Mus musculus: one gene and its partners. The protein of the gene in region 4 purifies or fractionates together with the protein of the main gene of each other region. This does not show direct contact. Links are inferred from orthologs where the notes say so. Each region holds a gene or a part of one and is shown on either strand. Other genes may lie near its edges. The genes, in order: Ncbp1, Mta3, Rbm45, Kpna1, Adnp, Anp32e and Tcerg1.

Region 1 (3,500 bases), on a different chromosome or scaffold from region 4:
AAAGAGCAGATGACTGGTCTGCAGAGACAGCCCTTTGCTTGGGAGTGCACTGAAGACGTGTTAGTCAGCTGTGGTAACAGGAGGTTTAGACTTGGCAGAAGTTGTAAGCTGTAGGTTTAAAGGTTTTGCTGGTTTTGCTTTAACATTTTGACATCTCGTAATCAGAATATGGAAGAGGGATGTGTGATGGTTTTAAGCAAACGGGTCATAAGCCAGGAGTGGTAGTGCAAGCCTGTTAATCCAACCAAGTTTGAGGTTCCTGGCCAACAACAGTGCATAGTGAGAGCCTGCCATAAAAACAACCCTGAGCTATATAGAAGAACTCTCCCATGAGAGAGAGTTAAGGGTCTGCTTTTTCACGAGGGATTGACATGAGGTCTTGCTATGTAGCCTTGGCTGGCCCAACTTAGTTTTATGTTGTCAATGTGTGAAATCAGGAGTGTGGTGTTGCTTTTACTAGAACATTATTATATGTTCATATGTTATTAGCAGTACAAGGTGTAGCACCAAAGAATTACTATAGTTAACTTGGGAGGGGGGGGGCGTTTTTTCGAGACAGGGTTTCTCTGTGTAGCCCTGGCTGTCCTGGAACTCACTCTGTAGACCAGGCTGGCCTCGAACTCAGAAATCTGCTTGTCTCTGCCTCCCAAGTGCTGGGATTATAGACATGCACCACCACTGCCCGACAGTTAACTTTTTTTAAATCTTACTATAAAATATTTTTCAGATGAAGGGTTCAGATTTAACCCTTTGAAAATAGAGGTCTTTGTCCAGACTCTGCTGCACTTAGCTGCCAAGTCCTTCAGTCACTCCTTCAGTGCTCTTGCAAAGTAAGTATATACATTTGAGCACCAGTGCTGTACTAACTTGCCTAAAGTTGTTAAATATGAAGATCTTCTTACATAGTTTGCTAGAGTGGGGTTTGGTTTGTGGTGGCTTCCTTGAGTGTGTGCAGTGTAGCTGTGCATGTGGTGGGTAAAGCAGTGCCAGCCTAGGTCCCGGGGACAGTCGTCTACACAGGCTGAGGGTCCGGCCTATCTTGACGCCTTTCCCAGGAGAGGAAGCAGCAACGAGAGCCTGCCCGAGGGTTGGCATGTAACGATAGCAAATCTGGTAAGAGTCCATGAGGAAAGAGCACTCTCCTAAGCTGATGAAGCTTCCTCGGGCGCAGTTCCAACACATGTGTGGGCTTAGGGATGACTCTTTGTCTTTTATTATGTGCTATATTTTAAATTCAGTGACACTAAAGGGGCTTCTGAGTAACTCTGGTACTTTGCACCTTTGTCTAAAGGTTTCATGAAGTCTTCAAAACTCTGGCGGAGAGTGATAAGGGGAAGCTGCACGTGCTGAGAGTCATGTTTGAAGTGTGGAGGAACCATCCACAGGTAACGCCTGCTCACTGGGACGTGGGCCTGGCTATGGAGATACACACGTATGACATTAGGTAGATTGGAGTCTGCCAGTAGTAGAATGTTTTTTAAGTCTGTACACTGGGTGTTATGGAAATACTTAACTGATACATTCTTCTTGGTAGATTTTTAAATTACACTGAGCTGTTGCTTAGGGGTGCATGGGAGGGTCACGGGGCCTATGCGAAGTCAGAGGACAAATTTCAGGTCTGTTCTCTCCTTCAACCATGGTGAGTCCTGGGTATTGAACCTGGCTTGTCCAACTTGCCATCGAGTGTCTTAGCCATTGAGTCATCTCGCCGGACCTTGGTAACATTCTTCAGGTGGCATTGGGATTGGTTTTGTGCTAAAGCAATTCCACACATATTAGATGCTGAGGAAGAAAATTGTTTGACCACAATATTTGGTAGGAAATAGTTGTCATGATTATCCATTTCTACAAACAAGACCCATAACATTTTTAAGTAGGGCCAGACATATATATATACTTTTTTTTCTTTTGTTTTTGTTTTTGTTTTTCGAGACAGGGTTTCTCTGTGTAGCCCTGGCTGTCCTGGAGCTCACTCTGTAGACCAGGCTGGCCTCGAATTCAGAAATCCGCCTGCATCTGCCTCCCGAGTGCTGGGATTAAAGGCGTGCACCACCACGCCCGGCTTATATATTTTTATAGAGGTATTATCAATGAAAGTTTTCTTAAAGAGTATGTGCTACCATTCAAGAGTTGTCTTTTCATGCAATCTTTATTATTAATATAGTTTTCTTATAATATTAGAGCATAGCAGAAGGCAGAATAAATCTAAAGGCTGACTAGTCTAATCAAGACTAATGGCAGCACTTGGGAAGTAATGGCAGGAAAATCAGGAGTTCAAGGCCAGCCCTAGCTATATGAAACCGTGTCTAGAAGAAAAAAAAGACGAGCTATGGCTTAAACTGGTCAATTCTCTTGCCATTGAAATCACATTTCATAGCCGCACTATTTCATTTCCTAGCATTGTTTACCACCGTGCCTGCTTGTCTCTTCCTTGTCGTAGATGATTGCTGTGCTGGTTGATAAGATGATTCGTACGCAGATTGTCGACTGTGCAGCAGTAGCAAACTGGATCTTCTCATCGGAGCTGTCTCGGGACTTTACGAGGTCTGAACCAGAACTGTATCACCAGTAACAGTGTGATGTTACACAGGCTTTATAGTGATCAGGACCAAAGAGCAAGGGCTAACATATTGTGAAAACAAATGAAATAAAATCTGTGACAGTCTTAACTTTTCCACTACACCCACTATTTGCAGAGCACACTTGTCAGAAATATACCGAGGCCTGAAGTGTCATATGATCAAAAGTTTTTACAGGGCCAACAAGATGGCTCAGAGGGTCAGGGGGCTTGCTGTCAAGCCTAATGGTCTGAGATCCCTGGGTTTGATCCTCAGAGCTCACATGGTAGGAGAACCAACTCTAATGTTGGTGTTTTATTAAGGGGTGGACAAGTACAGGTTATGGTCCTGCCCCCTGGGAGCCGCCTGCCTGACTAATGTGTGGAGACGGATGCTTCATAATTCACCGCAGGGCTGAACTAGTGTTGCTGGAAAAGACTGCTTCATTCTTCCCAGGGGACAGAAGGCCCCATCAGCCCCTAAGAATGATAGGCTGAAACTGTAGATATTTCCTCTGCAGTAGCATAACATACATTAACCAAATGCTGTATTACTTTAAGGTTGTTTGTGTGGGAAATTTTGCACTCTACAATTCGTAAGATGAACAAACATGTTCTGAAGATCCAGAAAGAGCTAGAAGAAGCTAAAGAGAAACTGGCGAGGCAGCACAAACGAGTAAGTCACCTGCCGACCTGAGGGCTCACAGGTTGGGACAGAATCTGCAGGGTAGTCCGAGCCATTGCCGTGACACTAGGCTTTTTCCAAGTTACATAAAACTGCCACATGCTATGGCACTGATGTTGACCACAAACTGTTCCCTAGTTTACCACCTCTAAGTGGCTTCCTAGAAGAAACTTGTATATCTCTAAGTCTGGCACAGAGGAGAAGAGACACAGTTGGAGAGGCTGAGGAGAGGTGGGACAAGTTAGTCTCCGTCCCGAC
Region 2 (3,500 bases), on a different chromosome or scaffold from region 4:
CAAGAACCTGACCCATAGCAACAATGACAGAGAGGAGAGCCTCTGCTGTTGTTTGAGATTTAAAACATACAATGTATCGGCTGCGGGCCAGACCATCTCCATAGCCCCATACAACAGGGGCACACATAAGAACCCTGCAAGCAGAGGTGTGCACAGTAAGGCCCGAGGCCAAAAGCAAATATCATAACCTGGCCTTTCCCCACCTGGTGCCCTGGGAGCTTGAGGGCTGTAAGCTCTTATCCCCACACCTGCCTCTTCGCTACAAGTAGCAGACACATTTAATTTGTCAGAGGACATTGAGGAACTCCAAGAGGGGATTTGGTATGTATCACAGCACAAAGTGAATATAACAGCATACAGTTCAAACAAACAAACAAACCCTGCCAGCAAGCATAGATCCACAGAAGAAAACCAGAGCCAATGCACACTCACCTTAGCAAGAGCGCTCAGCCAATATCCACTGATCCCAGCGTGGGCTTGTGTGTGGGGGTGGGGGTGGGGGGGGAGCGGACACCCGCTCACTGAAGAGACGCTGCCCTGTCTCTGAGCAGCAGGCATGCTTTCTAGAACCTTCTCAGTAACCCACCCCACAGCAGAGGACAGTTCCCACACTTAGCCAGGCCTGGCCTGAGCAGACTTACCGTAGCAGCTCTCGCAGGCTCGCCCTAGGAGGGCGCTCTGGGGCTGAAACTGGGTCCCCACAGCTCCATTCACAGTGCCAGCCTTGCCGTTGCTGCTGGAGATTTGGTTGGGATTTGGTTTGCTGCTTTCAATGAAATGTAAAGTGAGATGATAAAAACAATTTGTAGGACAAGGTCAAAAGCAGGCACCTCCTTACTAATTTCCCTTCCCTGAAATACGAACAGATACTTAATCCATTTAGTGAGGAAGACAGAGACTGGGAAAAGCAGGGTGTGAAGATGCACCCAAGTATGGGAGGCAGTGAAGGGAGACAATGAAAAGGAAGTATGGTGGGAGGTGCGAACAAGGATGCTGGGATGGACCCAGGACTTTGTACACTAACCTAAAAAAAAAAATAACAACAACCGCAAACACATACACCAAACAACAACCAAAAGAAAAAGAAAAAAAAAAACAAAACAAAACGAAATACATTGGCACACATGATTCCAGGAACTTACATAAGAGGGTATATTTGGTGCAATGATAAGAAAAAAGAAACAAAATAAAACCAAGGCACTCATTTTGCAAAACAGAGCTATAAAACAGCCAGAGTCCTGTCTCAGGCACTCTGCGGCGAAGGCATGGCTCCTGTGGACACCATACCGGTGCCAATTCTCCACAGCTCGCTGTACTTTTGAAAGACAGAAGCCCCTGGGCTTTATCTTCATCAGACATTTTCCTGACAAAGACAGCCTTTGATTGGGTGTTAAGGTAAGGGCAGTGCTGTGGGGCTGGAAGAGCCCTGGCTCCTCTCCTGCTTGGGATGACGCTGTGGCCGCTACAGTGCTCCCGAGGGGGTGAGGCTAGCTTTGCAGGGCCACCCGCCACACACAGCCAAGGAGCACCTGTCCCAAGCTCGAGATAAAAATTCACATTATGTTTTCTGAGGCAGATTAGCAATTGGATGAGAAAGCTTTTGAGTTCATGTTTTAGATTTGTTTTTCCCTCTTCTGTTTTAAGAAAACACTTTCAGGGGCTGGCAAGATGGCTCAGCGGGTAAGAACACTGACTGCTCTTCGGAAGGTCCTGAGTTCAAATCCCAGCAACCACATGGTGGCTCACAACCATCTGTAATGGGATCTGATGCCCTCTGCTGGTATGTCTGAAGTCAGCTACAGTGTACTTATGTATAATAATAAATAAATCTTTGAAAAAAAAAAAGAAAACACTTTTAGGAGAAAAAAAGACATAGGTCAGGAGGCTAAGTACAAACGCATCAGAGACGCTGGTAAAACTGAATGCAGACTGGCCAGCACAGCTCTAACTCTTTAAACACATAGGCTGCACATGTCAGGGCACTTACTATGTAAACAGAGCTGACAGTAGGCTAACCCCTGCTTAGAGCTGTGCCTACAGCTGCATGCACAGTGCACACCATTCAGAAATACAGACTCACTACATAGGAAACAAAGATCTGCCCCAGAAGAGCTTCCTGCTAGTGAACCTTTCATCTCTGTTACACTGTGAGACCCCTCTCCCCAGCTCAGGACACACACATTCACAAACAAACAAACAAACAAACAAACGAAACAGGTTTTGTTGTTTGTTTAGTATTTTTGGAACAAAAAGAAGAGAAGCGGGGCTGGCACTGTAAGCCTTTAATCACAGCCTCCAGACAGTGGCAGTGGCATCGCTGTGAGTTCAAGGACAGCCTGGTCTACAAAGTGAGTTCTAGGACAGCCAGGGTTATGGAGAGAGTGAGAGAGAGCGAGAGAGAGAGAGAGAGAGCGAGCGAGCAAGAAAGAGAGAGAGAGAGAGAGAGAGAGAGAGAGAGAGAGAGAGTCTCAAAAAAGAAAAGAAAGGAAGTAGTTCAGAGAAACTCAAGTTCCCAAAGAGGTGTTAACATTTCCAGTTGAAAAGGACTCTGCCATGGACTGGCTCAAACAATGCCCCTACTCACTTAAATCTAGTGAAACGTTTCCCAGAAATGTGGAAACTTGGCATTTAAATGCAGGACTAAAGATTTGAGTCTAAGAAGGGCCAGTGCTGGGCTGGAGAGACGGCCCAGTGGTTAAGCGCACTTGCTGTTCTTGCAGACGACCTGGGTTTGATTCCCAGCACCCACACAGTGGCTCACAACCGTTCACAACTCTGATTATTATGTGTAAATAGTAACTTGAGGCAGGTCCAGGGAGGATAATGACAGGTATAAAATGTTCCAGGTTGTGAGAGACCGTGGGAGGGTGTTTTAGAGGAAGGACAGTTTCACGGAATATTTTCATAAACATTTCTTGGTGCCCACAATGCAGTGGCTTTGTGTACTGGTCAGTGTGTTCAGTGTATGCTGCACTTACATTCCTTACTCCTTTTATGATGGAACAAACTCGCAGTGGCCTCACCTAATATTGCGCCACCTTCTCTGAGCTTGGTGACTCGCAGGAACAGTCACCTAACTGTGGACCTAACCTTGACAAGCCGAGGTCAGTCACCTCCCAAACAGCACCGCTTCCAAAGCTCTTCCTAGGTCAAGCTGGTGCCATCTCTCCTCCTGAGCACCCATAGCCAGTCTCCCCATATATGCCCTGCTGCTCCCTGGATCCAAATGAAACCTGTCATCTTCAAGACCATGACTCCTCTTTCAAATTTGTCCATTCTTCAAATCATGGGTACCCATACTGCACTGCCCTGCCCCTGGGGCTGGCTGACTACTCTCTTCACACCAGGCACACCATTTTTCTCCAGGCTCCTCTATTGTGTTCGGTCCTGTCCCAGCTCAGGACACCACTCGCTGTTCAGTGCAACTGCCTGCAGCCATGTGCACTCACACTTACTTCCTCAAAGACTCTTTTTGGGGGGGGGGCATAACAAAATATTTA
Region 3 (3,500 bases), on a different chromosome or scaffold from region 4:
GAGATCCTTATTCAAATTACGGTAAAATGATGTTTTGCTGTTGTTAAGTTTGCAGTGCTCTGTGAAATCAGTTTTCATTCACACATGATACTTTCTTATGCTGTTTATGCTGCAGGAAGTTTATGTTTTCTTTTTCTAGGTGGTTTTTGTTGTTGTTTGTTTTAGTTCTTTTTGTTAACATACAGGTTTATTATTCAGTGAATTTTTTTTCTTTTTTCTTTTCTTTTTTTTTTTTTTTTTTTTTTTTAACCATGTGAAGCCAGAGTCTACTCTGGCCCAAAGATTTATTTTTTATTATACAGAAGTACACTGTAGCTGTCTTCAGAAGCACCAGAAGAGGTTGTCAGATCTCATATGGATGGTCATGAGCCACCATGTGGTTGCTGGGATTTGAACTCAGGACCTTTGGGAGAGCAGTCAGTGCTCTTATCCACTGAGCCATCTCGCCAGCCCCACAATGACATTTTTGTTAGGTATATCATGTACTTTAATCTCACTACCTTCTTCTGGCCCCTCCGTTTTTCCTATTTTATAGTTTAAAATCCAACAATACCTTAGTAAATAAACCCTCAAGAATGTTATCTTTTTTTATATAAAAATCATTCACCATAAAAGATATTTTAACTCTCACAAAATAAAGAATTCTCTATTTCCCATTGTAAAACAACAGTGCCTCAGGCTAGGGTCTGGTTTGGCTCTTTGAGTTGATGCATATAAAGTGTTTAAAGCGTCCTCCTCGTTGCATTTCCAGGTCTCTCTACCTCTCTGGCATCCTAAGTGTTCTGCACCTCTCCCTACATTCTCTGATTCGTGGTAGTTACAGTCAGGGCCCTTCCTCACAGCACGCCAGCGGGGGGTCTGGTCCAGGCGGGTCTCCAGCTGAGGCTCCTCCTTCCGGGCAGCCCTAGGTTACGTCAGACTGACAGTAAAACCTACTCAGTCCAGTAAAACCTACTCAGTCCGTGTGATTTACAGAGGCCAGCACTGTGTTTCTCACGACAGAGAAGTCATGAAAGCTTCTTGGTTGTGTCACAAGCCCCTGGGCTCCGGGATAAACCTCTCCCTGCCCCCGCACCGCCCGCTCAATTGACACCCAGCCCCAGAGCTGAAGTCTCTTCAAAGGAATGTGAAACGGGCAACGTTTCTGATTTTCATACAGACCACCCTCCTCCACGGTTGCAACTAGCTGACTATATCCGTGGACAAGTTCTCATTGTTTCCTGTTCAGTATAACAAGAAAAACTCTTAGCTTCAAAGAATTAAGATTTTGGTTTTTATGTATATGGCTATTATATAAGAAAACGTAAGCTGGGCCTGGTGCTAAGCGCCTGTAATCCCAGGACTCGATGGGAGACCGAAACAGTGGGATTACAAGTTTAAGGCCAATGGCCTGGTCTAGCAAGTTCCTGCTAAGAGAAGAATAAATATATATTTTAAATTCAACTCATTAGATAGAATATATACTGATACTACAATTTCTTAAAAATGTTTGTATTTTACAAAGATCTAACTTACATTTCATTGCCTACAAATAATGTTACATGCATGTTTAGCAGAACTTTGTTCTCTGTTATCTTTGATTTGTACTTACTGGTTGTGTGAGAAAAATGGAAGTCCTGTATTTTTCCACCTTTGAAATACATTGTAACTGGGGCTGGAGAGGAGGCTCCTTGGTTAAGAGCACTGGCTGCTCTTTCAATTCTCAGCACCCACCTGGCAGCTCACACCTGTCTGTAACTCCAGTGTCAGAGCTTCTGACACCTCACACAGACATACATGCAGGCAAAATGCCAATGCATGTAAAATTTAAAAACTAAAAAAGAGAAAGAAAGGAATACATTGTAACTTAGGCCTTAAGGATGCTGCCTTTTGCATGTCTGTATATTCTCTATTTTAGGTCATGGTGTGGTTCAGTATTTTAACGTAGCATCAGCTATTTATGCAAAATACAAACTGCATGGGTTCCAGTACCCTCCTGGGAATCGGATAGTCGTCTCTTTCCTGGATGACGGGAGTAATATGACAGAGTAAGTACCATTCCAGGGTGGCCCAAGTCAAACCGCGGGCCATGTGACTCTGGCTTGACGGATAAAAATAAACAGTTCACCTCAGGTGAGGAAGCCACAGCAAACAAATTATTGTTAAGATGCTGAGTATTTCTAGTTTCCCATAAACCGTCGGTTGTTGTTTCCAGACTCATCAGGAAAATGGCGACACAGATGGTGGCGGCCCAGCTCGCGTCGATGGTGTGGAGTACCACGAGTCAGCAGCAGTTTCTGGTAAGTGGGTAAGAATGTGTTGCGTCTGTACCGAGAACACTTTCAGAGCTGTAGTAAAAGACCACGTGGGTGCCGGAACACACCCTTAGCTCTTGTCCCCAAAGCGCTGAAGGGCTGCCTTCTTTTCTCTCCCTTTGTGCCGGACTCTTCTGCAGCAATATGGAGGAAATGCTGCCTCACAGGCGCCTCAAATCCAGACAGATGTTGTACTTCCGTCGTGCAAAAAGAAAGCGCCGCCTGAAACTCCAGTGAAAGAAAGGCTGTTTGTTGTGTTTAATCCCCATCCTTTGCCACTAGACGTGTTGGAGGATATATTCTGGTAAGGTTCTCAAAGCTACCCGTTGGTAGTTGTAAGCAAGTACACTCATTTAAACCAGTAACCACTATTCTCACACTCCCGCTGCTGCGCCGTGACCTGCTCTGAGTTCTAAAGACTTAACTGATCTTTTCTTTATGCTCATTTTCTTTTCTCCGTCAGACACACATCCTGACCTACACACGGAATTTCCCTGATTTCTTTTTTAAGACTTAAGATATACAGGAAGGTAGAGAATGGAAAAAGTCACTTGTCTCTTGAGAGAAGATTCATTTGCATAGACCTGTTGTTTTGACGTTATGTTTTCTCCATGTTATAATTCAGTGTTTACTAAACATCTTACATTTTACCCACACTTGGTTGGATCCTGAGGGTTATGACATGGAGGGCAAATCACTTAATTATAGGGGATAATATGTAGTAAGAATAAAGGCAAGAGGAGGGTCTTACCTATTTTTGTATCTTAATATAACTTTATATCTACCATAGCTATTTTTTAGACATTTGCCTTTTCCCCTCCCTCTAAGATTGTATATTAGTTAAACAAATAGGTAGCATGTAAAAGCGCCACACACAATGTCAGTCATGTACAGATGTGTCGACCTTATGTAACTGATTCATTTAGGTTTGGGTCTGGTGGTTTTGTTCTTGAACCACTGCGTCCCTCTGTGCTGGGCATGCACTGGGCTGGCATGCGAAGTGTGTTGTAAACAAAGCATTCTACCTCATGAACAGGACATTTGTTACACAGAGCAGCAGTGGAAGGTCCCACAGAAATTCTGAGATTTCTCTTTGAAGCAGGATGGGTCCTGAGACCTGAAGGATAAACCTAGTTTTGCCAGAGTAGGAGGTTGGGGGGTATGGCTTGGGTTTGGGTTTTTGTTTTTCTGGCTGGAAGGATATGA
Region 4 (3,500 bases):
TTGACAGTGCCTAGCTAGAATTGTAAACCACTCCATAACTCACTCAGCGTCTGTCTGTCTGGTAGGCTTCATGAGTGTCTTAGCTCACTCCAGAAGTTGTAATCATCTTTTTTTCCCCCTAGGTTTCTCCCTGTCTGAATGTCCTTTCTTGGTTACTGTTTGTCAGTGACACTGATGTACTAGCTGATGCTTGCTGGGCTCTCTCATACCTGTCAGATGGACCCAATGATAAAATCCAAGCAGTCATCGATGCAGGAGTCTGCAGGAGGCTTGTGGAACTTCTGATGTAAGATGATCTTTAAGAAAGTGTCTCTTGCACTCCTAGGTTTTCCCTCCTGATGCCATGACTCAAAGTCTTAGAAGTGACCTTAGATGAGGAGAGGAAAGGGTTTAACTTTTCCCTCCAGGTCACAGTCTGTCACTGCGGGAAGCCAGACAAGTGACTAAGTACAGACTGGATGACTGCTGCTTACTGGCATGTCGGTCTTGCTGCTCAACTCATGCTCAGCCAGTTTACCTCTAGGGTTGATGCTGTTCACAGTGGACTGGGCCCTGCCCTCCTGATGATCAGTCATCAGCCAAGACTATCTATCTCACAGCCACAGCATGGTATACTCTGATCCAGGTGGCCCCTCAGTTGAGACTTAAAAATTAGCAGCTGATGCTAACTAGTACACTATATTTTTCCACATCCCTAGCACTCTGGTATTAGTTGATTATAAATCTTACTGATTTATTATGCATTGGCCATTTGCCTCTTGTTTATATTGATGCCATTTTTAGTTCCCTTTTGAGACCTAATGAAGACTGTATTCTTCTACCATTATTAGTCCTTGAGCAGAATGTTTTGAAAAGCGTTGTCTGTATGTTTCTGTTATTCCACTCACATTGGAAGGCCTAAGGCCAGGTACTAGAAATCAAAGGCATATTGTTATGATAAATCGCCATTTCTTACTTAAAAAACAGACTAGATCATATTTTTGTAATGCTTTTGGTGATAGCATGGAAGATTTACTCTTGGCATAAATAATTTAAGACTATATTAACCAAATCTTTAGCTAATACTTAGAAGAAAATGTAGCCATACTATGATGGTGAAATAGTAAAGTTATAAGCCACATGACATTAATTGATGTACAAAACAGTTTTGTATGTTATAGTGATCAAAGACTGATTGTAGACCAGCAGTGTAGTATTGTCACAAGTTAACAAAAAGAAAAAAAATCTGGGAAACATTTGTCATGCGTCATTTTAGTCATTAGATCTTAAATGTGAAACAAGAGAGTTTGGGTTGGTCTTGGAGGTACATGGGTGTCTGTCCTCAATATCTGTCTCCACATATACACAGCAGGCATTATGGAAAGCTTTCTTGACCATTAAGGCAGCCTGTTAGTTCAGTGGAAACAGTAAAGTATTTGAGATGGGAATCTCACTTGGGTTTTGAAGTTTGCTGAAGTGTAGAAATAGGTGCAGTGAATAAATGTTGCCTGTGCCTCCCCGGTCACCTCAGCAGCTCCAGACCAAGTAAGGGGGAGAGAGGTCCTGTAGCAAAGAGTAAAAGTGTGGAATTCAGTGCTAAAGTACCTGGTAAAGATTACTAGAAAAGAATTTTAAAAATAAGGAGAATGATTGCTTTTTAAGGTGATGGTCAGTTCTGCTGCCGTGGTGGATTCCCTAAATAGCCGTAATCATAAAGTGCCTTTCTGCTCTAAAATTGAATCACATCTTCCTTAATTTGACTTTCATCCCCAAAGAAAAGATTTTGGATAGAACTGTTGTCTCTAACATTTTTTTTTTCTTTTATGGTTGCAGGCATAATGACTATAAAGTAGTTTCTCCTGCTTTGCGGGCTGTGGGAAACATTGTCACAGGGGATGATATTCAGACACAGGTATGAACAAGTGGTAAGATTTCTGTAAAGTGAGTCCATTGACTTCACAAACATAGTTCTGTTATTGAATTTTGTATTGTCAAGCATCCCCACTGACACAGTGTTTAATATTCTCAGTATCTACAAGTCCTGTGACTTGTAGCAATTGTAGGTTCTCTTATGAAAAAAAAAAAGTTTTTTTTTTTCCTAAGCCAGTTTTCTTTCTGCTTTTATTTGTAGCACATCCTAGAAGCACCAAATGGGATTTCTAGTAGTATATATGCTTTCTGGTAGTGCCCTCCTTTTGTATATGCTAAGGTTTTTGTAAGAAAGACTCTTTCCTCATAGTTCCCAGTGTCCATTCTACTTTTAGTAACAAGACAGGCCATCCACAGTAACCTTCCGTGTTCTCCTTTGTTGTGGGCGTGTTCTAAGGAGCAGTTCTTCAGCCTCATTCCTGGGTTCTGTAACTTCAGTCATCACCCTTATGTACATGGGCTATAAGAATCAGAATTAGGTTTTAGCTGTATCAATCAGCTTCAACTTCAATTTTCTAATCTCTAAAAGGAACGCAATTAGATTTGTGTTCTCAGATGTTATAGTTACAGTGTTTTTAATTTGAGCTTATCCTATCTACAAGGGAACTCATTTCCCCCCTCTTTATCTTTATCTGTTTTAGTTTCCAGTCTCAGTATTTGGCTTTAACAGTTGCCCATGCCAGTAATGCAGGTACTAGCTTGATTCTACTCTTCATTCACTCTTTTGCTAGATCTATCATTGGTACTCTATCATTGCTCATCCCTTGCATTGTGTAGTGTAGATGTCTTAGACAAGGCAAAGGAAATATATATTTGATTGTACTTGTATAAAATTTCTCTGGGACAATACATAGGAAATGGTTATCTTTGATGATCTCAGAGGATAACTGGGTTGTTGGAATACAGGAAACGAAAGGAAGGGAAAGGAATCTTACCTAGGCAGTCCTTATACATTTTTAAATTTTTAAAATTTATTTTTTTTTAAACATTTTTAAAAATACTGTATGTCTGTATATTATGTGCATGTGCATACTTGTGCCATAGCTCCTGGGTGGACATCTTTGTTGGGTTAGTTTTATTCTTTCATTAAAATGAGTTTTAGGGATCAAACCCAGGTTTGCAGATTTTTGTGGCAAATGACTCTATGCACTGATACATCTCGCCAGCTCATATCTTGGATTTTTTAACCACGTTAATGTATTTACTTTGGGTTGGGGTTGGGGCAAGTTTGTAGGGCTTAGATACAGCTCAGTGATAGACTTACTTGACCAGTGTGTATGCAGTCCTGAGTCCAAGTCCTAGCCTCACACAACAGAATGCTCTCACTGTCTCCCCGTGGCACCCATGGTCTTTGTTCTTGCCCTATTTGTTCACTGCAGTTTGCCTGACTGCTTTTAGCTCTGAGGTTAACACATGGATTTTTTTTTTTTTCTTTCATCCCCTATCTTTGCCCTGGCTACTGCTTTCCCCATAACTATAACCTTACTCTTGTTGCTAATGATTCTTTATTCTTTGTGCTTTTTATATTAGCATTGTATTCTTTGGAAGAGTGCCTCAGATTCCATTACAGGTGGTTGTGAGCTACTGTGTGG
Region 5 (3,938 bases), on a different chromosome or scaffold from region 4:
GATTAGGGGTTTAAATATATGTTCTAATAATTGCAAAAAATAAATGTTAGGTGGAAGTTTGTTCAACTTCCCAACCAAACCCTTAGACACTGAGCTGTCTGTATATATAGTCTGATTCTTTCAAAATTTGCAACTTTGTAGAGACCTCATGTTGGGGGAGGGGTGGCCAATCCTTCACAACTGCACTTGCTACTTTGTAGAGCTTTTAGCCATCCTTATCTACGGTAGGGTAACTACTGTTCCTTTAAAGTGGACCGAGGCTGTTGATGTTGACATGGTATGTTGGTTGGGGATGATCCAAAGTTACAAAGCCAACAGTGCAGGTGCTGTCACATACCAGAATTGTGGGTGAGTGCCAGACCGTTTTCATCCTTAGCCATTGACAATCCAATGGCCTCAACTCTACAAATCCCACTTTTTTTTTCCTTGAGTCAATGGTAAGTGGCCATCTGATGACTTGAAGGAATGACTTGAGTCCAAGGAACAGCAGAAGTGAAAAGCTGAGTCCCTGTCTATCCCATACCAGTTCACTAGAAGAGCTGACATGGCCTCAGAGCTGTGTCATCTCAAAAAATGGGAGGAACACGAGGGCATCACACCTCATTAAAGGCAGGAGGCAGCAGGCTCAACCCTTGGCTTTGCCTCCAGCTTGGGAGAGCTGACTCTGAGCACGTGGGCCTTGGGCAGCCCCAGGCGCCCTCCTGCCAGATGTAGTTCAGGCCCAGATGGGCCCGCGCAGGGATCCCCAGTGCAGCCACCTGACTGACTGTCGAGGCGTGCTGCGGCCCGCTACTTCTGCCTCCGCCGGCGGCGCTGCGGTCAGAGGAAGGCACCCAGGAGCGCAGTGCGGCCATTATCCACGGCGCCTCCTAGTGGGGCAATGGCAAAGCCTCCACGTTCTCGCGAGAGCTCCCCTCAGTGGGGATTATATAATCTCACCCAGGAGAGGCTGGGGGGGGCTGGGGCCACCCTGCCATAAGGAAAGTGGGTGTCGCCGCAGCCGAGGACCGAAGAGCTCTCCCTTGGGGGGGGGTCGCCGAGTAGGGGGTCCATGGCCCCCGCCCCCCCCCAGCTGGACAATGAGTCCTCTTATGCTAATGAGTCGCTTACGTCACTTCCGCTCTTTCTCGGCCGCCATTTTGGCTAGGGCAGGTTCGGGGACTTGCTCTGAGGCGCTTGTATTGTCTGCTGAGGGGAGACGCGGGACCAGCCCCCTCCCCCGCCCGCCGCCGCCGCCGCCACCCGTCCGGTCTACCCGCCGCCGCCGGGACCCATGAGCTGAGCGCCCGCCCGCCGCCATCTTGGCCCCCTCCCCCTCCAGCCGCGCTCGCTCGGGGGGGATTTGGCGTCGCCTCAGCCACAGCTCCCTCTCTCGGTCTCCGCCGCCGAGGAGCCGCGCGGCCGTCGCCGCCCGCCTGCCCGCCCGCGACGGTGAAGCCGCGGCCCCACGCCCTCCGCCGCCCTCCGCCCCTCCTTTGTCTGCACTGCCCGCGCCGCCGCCCGCCGCTCTGCTGCGCCCGCCGCGCCCCCCGGCAGCAGCCGCGGCCGCGGCTCGAGCCGGAGCCCGAGCGCGACGAGGCCCCGGGCGCGTCCTCGCCGCCATCGCCGTGCCGCCGTCCACCCGCCGCCGTGCTCTAGAGCACGCCGGCCCCGCGCACGCCTCGAGGCCGAGCCAAGGTAAGCCCCGCGGCCCTGCCCGCCGCCGATCCCGGGCGCGGTCATTGTGCTCGGCGTGCACACACCGCCTCGAACCCCAGTCGGCCGCAGCCCTCCTGCAGCCCGATCCCCTTCTCCGCCCCGCGGGGCTGCCGGCCGGCCACCATGGGCTTTTGCGGCTAGTGGCATCTTCCCGCACCCACCCCGCCCCCAGCCGAACCCCGCTCGCTCTCTCGTCCTCAGAACTAATCCCCTCCCGCCCTCCCCCAGTCCCCGGAACCAGCCTTCTGCCAGGTCTGCCCACCCTAGGCTTGGAAAGGGGGGAAAGGCCTGGGGGGCGGGGAGCGTGCATGGCAGAGGGTGAAAGTCTTTGCCTCCCCAACAACATGCCAGTTTCCCTCCCATCCTAACCACCACAGCCCCTCACCGGCCCTGCTTTCAATCTGGGCTACCTGGTCAGCACTCCCTCTTTAGAGCTTTCTGATCAACTTTGCAGTCAGAAAATGGAAATCCAGAAAGCCGCGGAAAGAATTTTTTTCGAATGCAATGAATGGGGAGTAGTTCTTTGAGCACCCTCTTATTCGCCTCTTCTTTCCTCTGAGCTGCCTGTCCTTCTCCTCCCTTCCCCACCCTACCCCCAACCTGGATGCCTGTCTGCTAGAAAAGGCGCGATTGCTTCTCTTCTTCTCTCCAAGAAGTCTAATACTCATTTTAGTCTCACTCCCTGCCACACACCCCAAGTGTCTTCTCAGTGTTCTTCCAGTCACCAGGTCCTCTGGACAGTTCTTGTCATAACCCCATTTCACAGACAAAGGCTTAGGAGGGAAAAAGAACCAAACTGTTTCCTGTGTTAGCCATTTTAATGCTGTCCAGCCCCAAACGCCCAGTTCCCATCCCTGATGCTTCTTGTGCCTGTATCTTGAACCTTCACAATGGGATGTGTGTCGGGGGGTGTCTCTTGGATAGCTTTGTGCAGTTTCTTTATAAATCTGCATTGTTGCTTCTGGTTTATGGTCATGGAGAAAATACCAGCCCCCACCCAAAAGGCACTGCAGCCAAGTCGGTTAAAGGCACTGAGTGTGGGAGTCAGTAGGGGGCGCATTCCCTGCACTGGGTAAGGCTGCAGAGGGGGGAAGGGCCCCAGAACTAGAACAGGATGTGCTAAACAGCGCCTTCTACAGACCATGGGAAAATGGGTCCAGCAAGACTTGCACTGGGTGAGCTGACAGCAACATGGCGAAGGATTAAGTGAGGCTAGAGAGATTTTATTTAAGAAAGCCACTTCTCCGTTTGGAAAGTTGTCTTTTTTTACTTTTTCAAACCTGTTCACCCTCAGACTTTGATTGCTGATCAGTCACCTTGGTGCACATCCTTGGGTCATAGGTTCCCTTTCTCAAGAATTCCTTCACCTTAAGGTTTGATGTGTTGACATCTCTTTCCTAGGCTAGGTGGTAAAGGGGGTTGTTTAAAACCTGAAAGTCACGGGCTTGGGAGATCAGGTCAATCCAAATCTCTCCGACTCTTTTGCGAGTGGAAAGTCATTCTTGAGAGGTTTTATGGGTTGGTGATTTTGACAGCCATGAAAGATGGGTGTCAGGATTTGCAAGGCTTTGTTGGTAAACATCAGGTCCCTATTGAGTTCTTCATTGTCAAACTTAATAGAGTTCACTGCAAAATTGTGTTGCCTTCCACTTTCAGCAGTACACTGTCTGTAGCCAACTGCCTTTGCAAGTGTTGACACCAGTCTTGGTTCGGTGCGCACCCACCTTTTTAGGGTGTGTGGATTTCTGTAGATTTTACTCCTGTTGTTATTTCCATAGGTGTGAGATGCACAGTACGAAACCTAGGCCCCAGCTTTTACATCGTGATGCACAGGGTTGCACTTTTTGTACTGAACTGATAGGTGGCCTAGTGGTTATTCCCTGTACTGCCATTTTGAGGATCTGGACTCCGTTCCCTGCCTTGCTCTTTGGACTGCATTGTCAATTCACACCGGTGGGTATATCATTTTGGAGGGTGGGGACTGCAGCATCAGGAAAGCTAGAGACTTCCTCCTGATCACCACCAGAACATGAACTTTCAAAATTTCAGCCTCGCCACATTCCTCAAGGAACTCGTTAGAGCTGGTTGCAGTAATGGGTTTTGAACGTTTAAAATATGTGTCTCTTTTAAGAGAAAAATTTAAAGTCGATGATGTTGTTGTAATCATTTGCATTCTGCACTTTTGGACATAAAGTTTTAAGTAGTCTATCTCAAGACTTGCTCAGCATCTGAAAGCCTTA
Region 6 (3,500 bases), on a different chromosome or scaffold from region 4:
CAAGAGGGAGACATCACAGCACACGAGGAGAGCAATGATCTATCTGCACACCACACGGGCGCTTGGTGGAAGAAATCCCTGAGCAGAGTCCACCTAGGCGGACACTGCTTAGGAAGCGAATGCAGGTGGTGGCTGGCACACGAGCCCGTGGTCAAGACTGTTTCGGAGGACCTGGATTTCAGCTTCCAAAACTGGTGCCCGCCTGTAAGTACAGCTCCAGAGCACCCTCTTCTGGCACCCACGGGCAACTACATTCACACGCCACACATTCACAGGCATGTTGTTTTTTTGAGACAGGATTTCTCTGCATGGCCCTGGCTGTCCTGGAACTCACTAGGTAGACCAGGCTGGCCTCGAACTCAGAAATCTGCCTGCCTCTGTCTCCCGAGTGCTGGGATTAAAGGCGTGCGCCACCACACCCAGCTGAGCACACACAACTTTTAATTTAAAAAGGTAGAAAAGCTACTGCAGGAGTCACGAGCTAACTGAAGGGAAAAGATCACAGTCTCTGAGTGTCTGCACTGTCACCAACCAGAACCAGGGGCTTTATGTGCATCACCTTGTTAAAGCAACTCCAGGAGTTTGCTTATACAGATGCAGAAAGAGGCTCAGACATTCAGAAAAGGCTTCCTCCATCCTGTGCCACTGAAGGCAGAGTCAATTCAGAAATTCAGGAGAAAAAGAGCAAGCAATGGCAGTCCCCATGAGTGGCCATGAGATTCGGCTGAGTCTGCCCACCTTTCTGAGACCCAAGTCAAAAAAGGCAACTTTTCCTGTCGTCTCATTCTTTTTGGATGCCGGCCAGAGCCCAGATACAGCTTTTCTACCACTGTGGCCTTCCACACCTCCTCTCTAGACCGCGAGCTCCCTACCCTGTGACCACTGGTCTCACCTCAAGGCCAGTTTACGCGGCACTGGGTTTTTCCGTTCTCCCCTCTGTTCTCCTCTTAGGAGCTACTGAGACTTACAGATCACCTGCCCTGAGAGTTTTTAAATAAAACTGTCCTTGGGCTTTAAAACAAAAAAAAGAAAGAAAATCAGCAAGTATTTACAGCTGTCTGGACATAATATGGAGCACCCAGTAGGAGGGAGAAAAAAAGACAGATGCTTATCCATGCTCATCCAGGCATCAGGAAACCACTCACAACCCATCCTACTCATACAGCACTTAGCCCTGGGCCAACCGTCTTCAGGGCGAACAACAAGTTTCCATTCACCTGAATTTCGTCTTTCATTAAGTATGAGAGGCCCACCTCCTCTTCTCCCTCTCCCACTTCTGAGCCAGCTTCATCCTCATCGTCATCTTCCTCCTCTTCATAGCCTTCCGGTGGGCCAGCTTCATCTTCGTCCTCATCTTCCTCATCTTCATCTCCATCTTTAGAAAACATTGTCAAAGGTGAGCAAGCATCCCGGCAACCGCTTCCTCCTGGTACTCATAGGGACTGCGTCCTTCTGGCACGTGGCCCCCATTCATCTTAAACCAACCATGGCAAGTGCCCCTACACTTGGCTTAAAAGAACAAATTCTGGCCAGACAATAGCAGTGCGTGCCTTTAATCCCAGCACTGGGAGGCAGAGGGGCAGAGGGGGAGGCTTGGAGTTGGGGGGGTGGGACTGAGTTTGAGGTCAGCCTGGTCTACAGAGTTCCAGGACAACCAGGGCTACACAGGGAGACCCTGTCTCGATAAAAGGAAACAAAGCAAACCCACCCATTTTACAGCACTGTTACCTGTGACCCAGAAGTACTTTACTAGGACTGGGGATCCAGGTCAGCACGTACCGAGCATGTGCAAGGATGACCCCATCCCAGCACTGCAAAGGACCCTTCCAAAATACATTTTCAAACATTATACACACTGAAGTTGGCTTTACTTTGCGGTCACTTCAAAACCTGCTGGTTGCCAGGCATGGTGGTGAACACCTTTGATCCCAGCACGAAGTGGGCAGAGGCAGGTGGCTCTCTGTTTGGGGTCAGCCTGGTCTACACAGTGAATTCCAGCACAGCCAGAGCTACAGAGACACCCTATCTCCAAACAAGTAAATAGTAAACTAAGAGCCTCACCCTCGTCGTCGTCATCCTCCTCCTCCGAGTCGGGAGCTTCGTTGTCCTCCTGGTCGAATCCGTCCAGGTAGGTGATCTGCTGCAGCAGTTCAAAAATACTTTCTCTATAATCTTCCAGGTTTGTGATCTCACAGTTAAACAAGTCGAGACTTTTCAAATTTTTAAGATTTTGCTGAAAAAGTAAAGTTAAAGGTTACAATCAAGATTTTAAACACTGTGTTCTTGAGTTTTAATGAAAGAGCTGAAAAACATATTCTTGAAGCTAAAGAACAAGTTTATGCACTTTTAGGGTTTGTAAGGCCACTCTCCCAGGCACAGGCAGCAGCACCCGTGGAGAAACTTTGGTTGGTCACCGCTGTGTCCCCAGCAAATGTCTTACAACTTAGTTTCTTGCAGACACCCCAGGCATTTTTGCTGACAGAAGCTGGGCAGATAGGCAACAGCACCCCAAGTGTGCCAGCACACACCATAACCCAGCCAGGGCAGGAAGGTCCGAGTGGGAGGCCAGCCTGGGCTACCAAGACTTAGTCTCCCATCTTTTTCTTCTTAAAGACAGGGTAACGTCCCATTACATAGCCCAAGCTGGCCTTGAATTCTCAGTTGCTTTAGCCTCTAGAGTGCTGAGATTACAGGCAGGTACCACCACAATAAGCCCACGGACAAGGCCTGGCCATGCCTGGCAATGTAGATTCAATCCCTGGGCCCCAGAAAACCAACACGCACAGACGCACGGACGCACTAATAAAACAAACTGTAAACCTGAATATCCATTTTCAGTTTTGTATTATTTATCTTTTCCTTCCTATCAGAAAATAAGCTGGGCGAGGTGGTGCATGCCTTTAATCCCAGCACTCGGGAGACAGAGGCAGGGGGATTTTCTGAGTTCGAGGCCAGCCTGGTCTACAGAGTGAGTTCCAGGACAGCCAGGGGCTATACAGAGAAACTTTGTTTCGAAAAAAAAAAAAAAAAAAGAAAAGAAAAAGAAAAAAAGGAGACAGACTACCTCAAAATATAGGGAAAAAAAAAGGTGTTAAAAAAATACTGAGGGCTGGCGAGATGGCTCAGTGGTTAAGAGCACCGACTGCTCTTCCGAACGTCCCCAGTTCAAATCCCAGCAACCACATGGTGGCTCACAACCATCCATAACGAAATCTGATGCCCTCTTCTGGAGTGTCTGAGGACAGCTACAATGTACTTACATATAATAAATAAATCTTTAAAAAAAATACTGAAAACTTGAAACCAGAATAAAGCCCTGAAGAAAATAAAAGCCAATCATTAAATATATTTGTCACTGATTCAAATATCGCCTGGACTTTTATTTCTTTTTTTTGTTTTGTTTTGTTGTTTTTGTTTTTGGGTTTTGTTTTTCCTTTTTTTTTTTTTAAAGATTTATTTTATTAATATATGTAAGTACACTGTAGCTGTCTTCAGACACT
Region 7 (2,900 bases), on a different chromosome or scaffold from region 4:
GCAGCTGCTGTCTCCTAGCCTGTACTCTAATGGCCAGAGCATACTTTTCACTCACACACATGTTGACAGTGTTCATTTTAGGAGTCAGAAGATGCCAGCTTTCCTCACGGGCAGATACAGGCCATTCCACAGTACTTTTTATTTTTTTAAAGAAAGGGCCCAGATGTCAATTCACATTTTGTGTTATGTACATCCAGTTTTTAAAATACACTTTTATTTTTACTTCACTGCTTTTTTTTTTCTTTTTTGAGGACCCTCAACTCTTTAAGAATTGTAATTCACAAAGAGACTTTAAATTAATTTTCACTATAACAACTTATCTTTGCCTCCTCTGAAGACTGCTGAGTGGGGTTAGACCATGAATGCCTGAACTCATCTTCTTAAGGCAGAAACATAATTTTCCTCCAACAGGAAAGGAGTTGCTGGATACACTTATTTTTTAAAAAGATTAAAAAGCAGAGCCTTTAAAAAAGGTTTTGGTGTTGCACACCCAGTGGTCCATCACCACTAGTAACCTTTCACCAGGAAACGTTTTTGGCATGGCCTACAGTCTGTGTGCAGGAGAGCAGTTAGGCTTCATGCGCCAGCATTTCCTCCTTTAGAAGACAGCTTTGACGAAGGAGGAAGGGTGTGCCCGGGAGGATAGATAGTGCTGAGGGTGTGCTTCATAGGTGTTTTGTCATTTGGATTTTTTGGTCAGGATCCTTAATGTTTTGCATCAGCTTGGGCTTTTAAATTAGATGTGAAGTAAGACTTCTTTCTACATTTTTATAGTTAATTTAGTGAAAGATGTGAAAGTGAAAGCTTGTGAAAGATGCTGGGATTGGCAGCCCCGCAGACTGAAGTCCTCTGTTCATCCACAGAACAGGTACAGCACGGGCAAGATTTACCTACCCACCCTCAGCCCTGATCTGGAGGGACCACCAGTAGGGGTGGGAGGGTAATTCAGCTTCTGAGGCCCTTTCACTCCCTGGAGTCTTTGCTGAGGCGATTTACAAAGGTGACTGCTGCAGTGAAATTTTTCTTTAAAAAAGTGGAAACACAATTAGGAACTAGATGGACATTTCCGGCTCATTTCTGCAAGACCAGCGAACAGCAGTCAGTAATTCTTGTGCTTTTTCTCTTATTTCAGATCCAAAAAGTTAATCCAAGAATCTGATCAGCACCTGAAAGATGTAGAAAAGATTTTGCAGAATGACAAACGGTATCTAGTACTGGACTGTGTCCCCGAGGAGAGGAGGAAACTAATTGTGGCCTATGTTGATGACCTGGATCGCCGAGGTCCACCCCCACCTCCCACAGCATCAGAGCCCACTAGACGATCAACAAAATAATTCTAAATACCCTTCCACGGGCTCGCTGTTAATTGAAAATGCTTGCATGAGCCAGATTTTCAGGTTTTTACATATATGCATTAGTCAACCTATTGCAAAATCACCTGACGAACAGAAGGAGAAGCGGTTGTGGGCAGTCTCAGAACGGAACACTTTGAAAATAGTTAATGCTTTTCTTTGTGTGGCATGACTGACATACATACTCAAATATAGGCTGTCTCTAGTAAATTTAAAATCTCGAAGCTAAAAGTCATCCTTTTATAAGGTGTGGAAGCCAGTGACTTGGTGATGTTCTTACTAGCAGTGTTACTCAGCAAGACAGGAGAGTTTGTGGTAGGAGCTTGGAAATACCACAGACTCCAGGAAAACTGAAGTTGGAGTTTGTTTTTGATTTTGTTTTTTAAGCGGGTAAAAGAGAAAACACTGAATTGAATTCTTCCAGAGACTATGGTTATTATAATGGACGTACTTTTACCTTTGTCTCTAAAGAGCAGTTTAGTTGTATTTGTTCACGTATGTGCTTTGATTCTCCCCTCCGGAGTTATAGGCCAAGTCTTGTTTACCCCAGGAGAAGATGTATTTAGTAATTTCTTCTCAGGTATGAACCACATTCATAACTAACATGTTGGCCAGAGTGGAATCCTGGTTTAAACATTCTTTATTCTCCATTGAATGATCTCTACCAATATTCTCAATTAGACAACAAAACTCCCTTTCTGGGTGTTCCTGTAAACTACTCCTGTTTGAATGTTTGAACTTTTGTTTCTAAAAAGTTTAAGATGTTTGAATGTTGAATTTATGTATTTGAACTACAATAAACCAACCCTTTTATATATGTGGATTGTAAATGATTATTGTTACACAATATATTTTTTAAAAACTCGTAGACCTGTTTTTTATTTTTTCTTTGTTTGCTTTCTTGTTTGGGTCATTGTTTTTTTTTTTGTTTGTTTTGTTTTGTTTTGAAAAAAGCATGTGATATTTGAGACAACAAAATCTTAGAATATAGGTTTTAAAGGCTTGACTATAATGCTGTATTTCTAATATAAAAGACAAGAAATTTTGTAGAAAGCCTATTCTCCCTTTCTTTTGTGTGCCTGTATGTGTGTGTATGTTTATATGTGTGTCTAATCAGTCTTTTAATTCTACCTGTTAATTAATAGCAAGAATATTGTAGTTCTTTGTCTTTCTAGCATATCAAAGGTTTGCACCTTTTAGACGTCCTTTCTACCTGTCATATGTCATGCCGTGAACTTACTTACCTCTGACGCTCAGCCAAGTTTTTCTGGCTTTACACCCCTTCCCAGTGCCTGGGGTGTGAGTGTGTATAAATCCTATGTTGTTCTCACAGGTTGCCCTTAGCAAAGCACCACATAATAAGTAAGGCGTGTAGGAAGATCCCAATGTTAGTTATCTTCCCCATTGTCTCCCACCCTTTATGATGGCCACAGAGCCTAGAAAGAGGAATACCAACTGACCAAACTGTATTTGTTACCTATAACATTCATATCCATACTACTTACTAGTATAAATCTATTAAGTGTCATAGAAATTACATGACATGTT

The links.
Region 1: the proteins of Kpna1 (region 4) and Ncbp1 purify together in Homo sapiens (co-immunoprecipitation; 3 studies listed by BioGRID and IntAct, with this or other methods). This does not show direct contact. The link is inferred for Mus musculus from reciprocal best matches to the Homo sapiens genes KPNA1 and NCBP1.
Region 2: the proteins of Kpna1 (region 4) and Mta3 purify together in Homo sapiens (affinity purification with mass spectrometry; 3 studies listed by BioGRID and IntAct, with this or other methods). This does not show direct contact. The link is inferred for Mus musculus from reciprocal best matches to the Homo sapiens genes KPNA1 and MTA3.
Region 3: the proteins of Kpna1 (region 4) and Rbm45 purify together in Homo sapiens (co-immunoprecipitation; 3 studies listed by BioGRID and IntAct, with this or other methods). This does not show direct contact. The link is inferred for Mus musculus from reciprocal best matches to the Homo sapiens genes KPNA1 and RBM45.
Region 5: the proteins of Kpna1 (region 4) and Adnp purify together in Homo sapiens (co-immunoprecipitation; 3 studies listed by BioGRID and IntAct, with this or other methods). This does not show direct contact. The link is inferred for Mus musculus from reciprocal best matches to the Homo sapiens genes KPNA1 and ADNP.
Region 6: the proteins of Kpna1 (region 4) and Anp32e purify together in Homo sapiens (affinity purification with mass spectrometry; 4 studies listed by BioGRID and IntAct, with this or other methods). This does not show direct contact. The link is inferred for Mus musculus from reciprocal best matches to the Homo sapiens genes KPNA1 and ANP32E.
Region 7: the proteins of Kpna1 (region 4) and Tcerg1 purify together in Homo sapiens (co-immunoprecipitation; 3 studies listed by BioGRID and IntAct, with this or other methods). This does not show direct contact. The link is inferred for Mus musculus from reciprocal best matches to the Homo sapiens genes KPNA1 and TCERG1.

Annotation. Positions count from the first base shown.
Region 1 is NC_000070.6:46,166,011-46,169,510, forward strand, and holds part of Ncbp1 (nuclear cap-binding protein subunit 1), read left to right. Parts: intron 1-727; coding exon 728-830; intron 831-1,291; coding exon 1,292-1,385; intron 1,386-2,440; coding exon 2,441-2,544; intron 2,545-3,118; coding exon 3,119-3,233; intron 3,234-3,500. UniProt on the Homo sapiens protein: Component of the cap-binding complex (CBC), which binds cotranscriptionally to the 5'-cap of pre-mRNAs and is involved in various processes such as pre-mRNA splicing, translation regulation, nonsense-mediated mRNA decay, RNA-mediated gene silencing (RNAi) by microRNAs (miRNAs) and mRNA export.
Region 2 is NC_000083.6:83,786,184-83,789,683, reverse strand, and holds part of Mta3 (metastasis-associated protein MTA3), read right to left. Parts: intron 767-3,500; coding exon of another isoform or gene 764-766; coding exon 642-763; intron 1-641. UniProt on the Homo sapiens protein: Acts as a component of the histone deacetylase NuRD complex which participates in the remodeling of chromatin.
Region 3 is NC_000068.7:76,376,484-76,379,983, forward strand, and holds part of Rbm45 (RNA-binding protein 45), read left to right. Parts: coding exon 1-21; intron 22-1,897; coding exon 1,898-2,027; intron 2,028-2,194; coding exon 2,195-2,279; intron 2,280-2,434; coding exon 2,435-2,598; intron 2,599-3,500. UniProt on the Homo sapiens protein: RNA-binding protein with binding specificity for poly(C). May play an important role in neural development.
Region 4 is NC_000082.6:36,021,363-36,024,862, forward strand, and holds part of Kpna1 (importin subunit alpha-5), read left to right. Parts: intron 1-122; coding exon 123-286; intron 287-1,812; coding exon 1,813-1,891; intron 1,892-3,500. UniProt on the Homo sapiens protein: Functions in nuclear protein import as an adapter protein for nuclear receptor KPNB1. Binds specifically and directly to substrates containing either a simple or bipartite NLS motif.
Region 5 is NC_000068.7:168,204,313-168,208,250, reverse strand, and holds the start of Adnp (activity-dependent neuroprotector homeobox protein), read left to right. Parts: upstream 1-1,138; 5' UTR 1,139-1,677; intron 1,678-3,476; exon of another isoform or gene 3,477-3,651; intron 3,652-3,938.
Region 6 is NC_000069.6:95,935,757-95,939,256, reverse strand, and holds part of Anp32e (acidic leucine-rich nuclear phosphoprotein 32 family member E), read right to left. Parts: intron 2,234-3,500; coding exon 2,062-2,233; intron 1,376-2,061; coding exon 1,218-1,375; intron 1-1,217. UniProt on the Homo sapiens protein: Histone chaperone that specifically mediates the genome-wide removal of histone H2A.Z/H2AZ1 from the nucleosome: removes H2A.Z/H2AZ1 from its normal sites of deposition, especially from enhancer and insulator regions.
Region 7 is NC_000084.6:42,573,386-42,576,285, forward strand, and holds the end of Tcerg1 (transcription elongation regulator 1), read left to right. Parts: intron 1-774; exon of another isoform or gene 775-868; intron 869-1,132; coding exon 1,133-1,334; 3' UTR 1,335-2,400; downstream 2,401-2,900. UniProt on the Homo sapiens protein: Transcription factor that binds RNA polymerase II and inhibits the elongation of transcripts from target promoters. Regulates transcription elongation in a TATA box-dependent manner.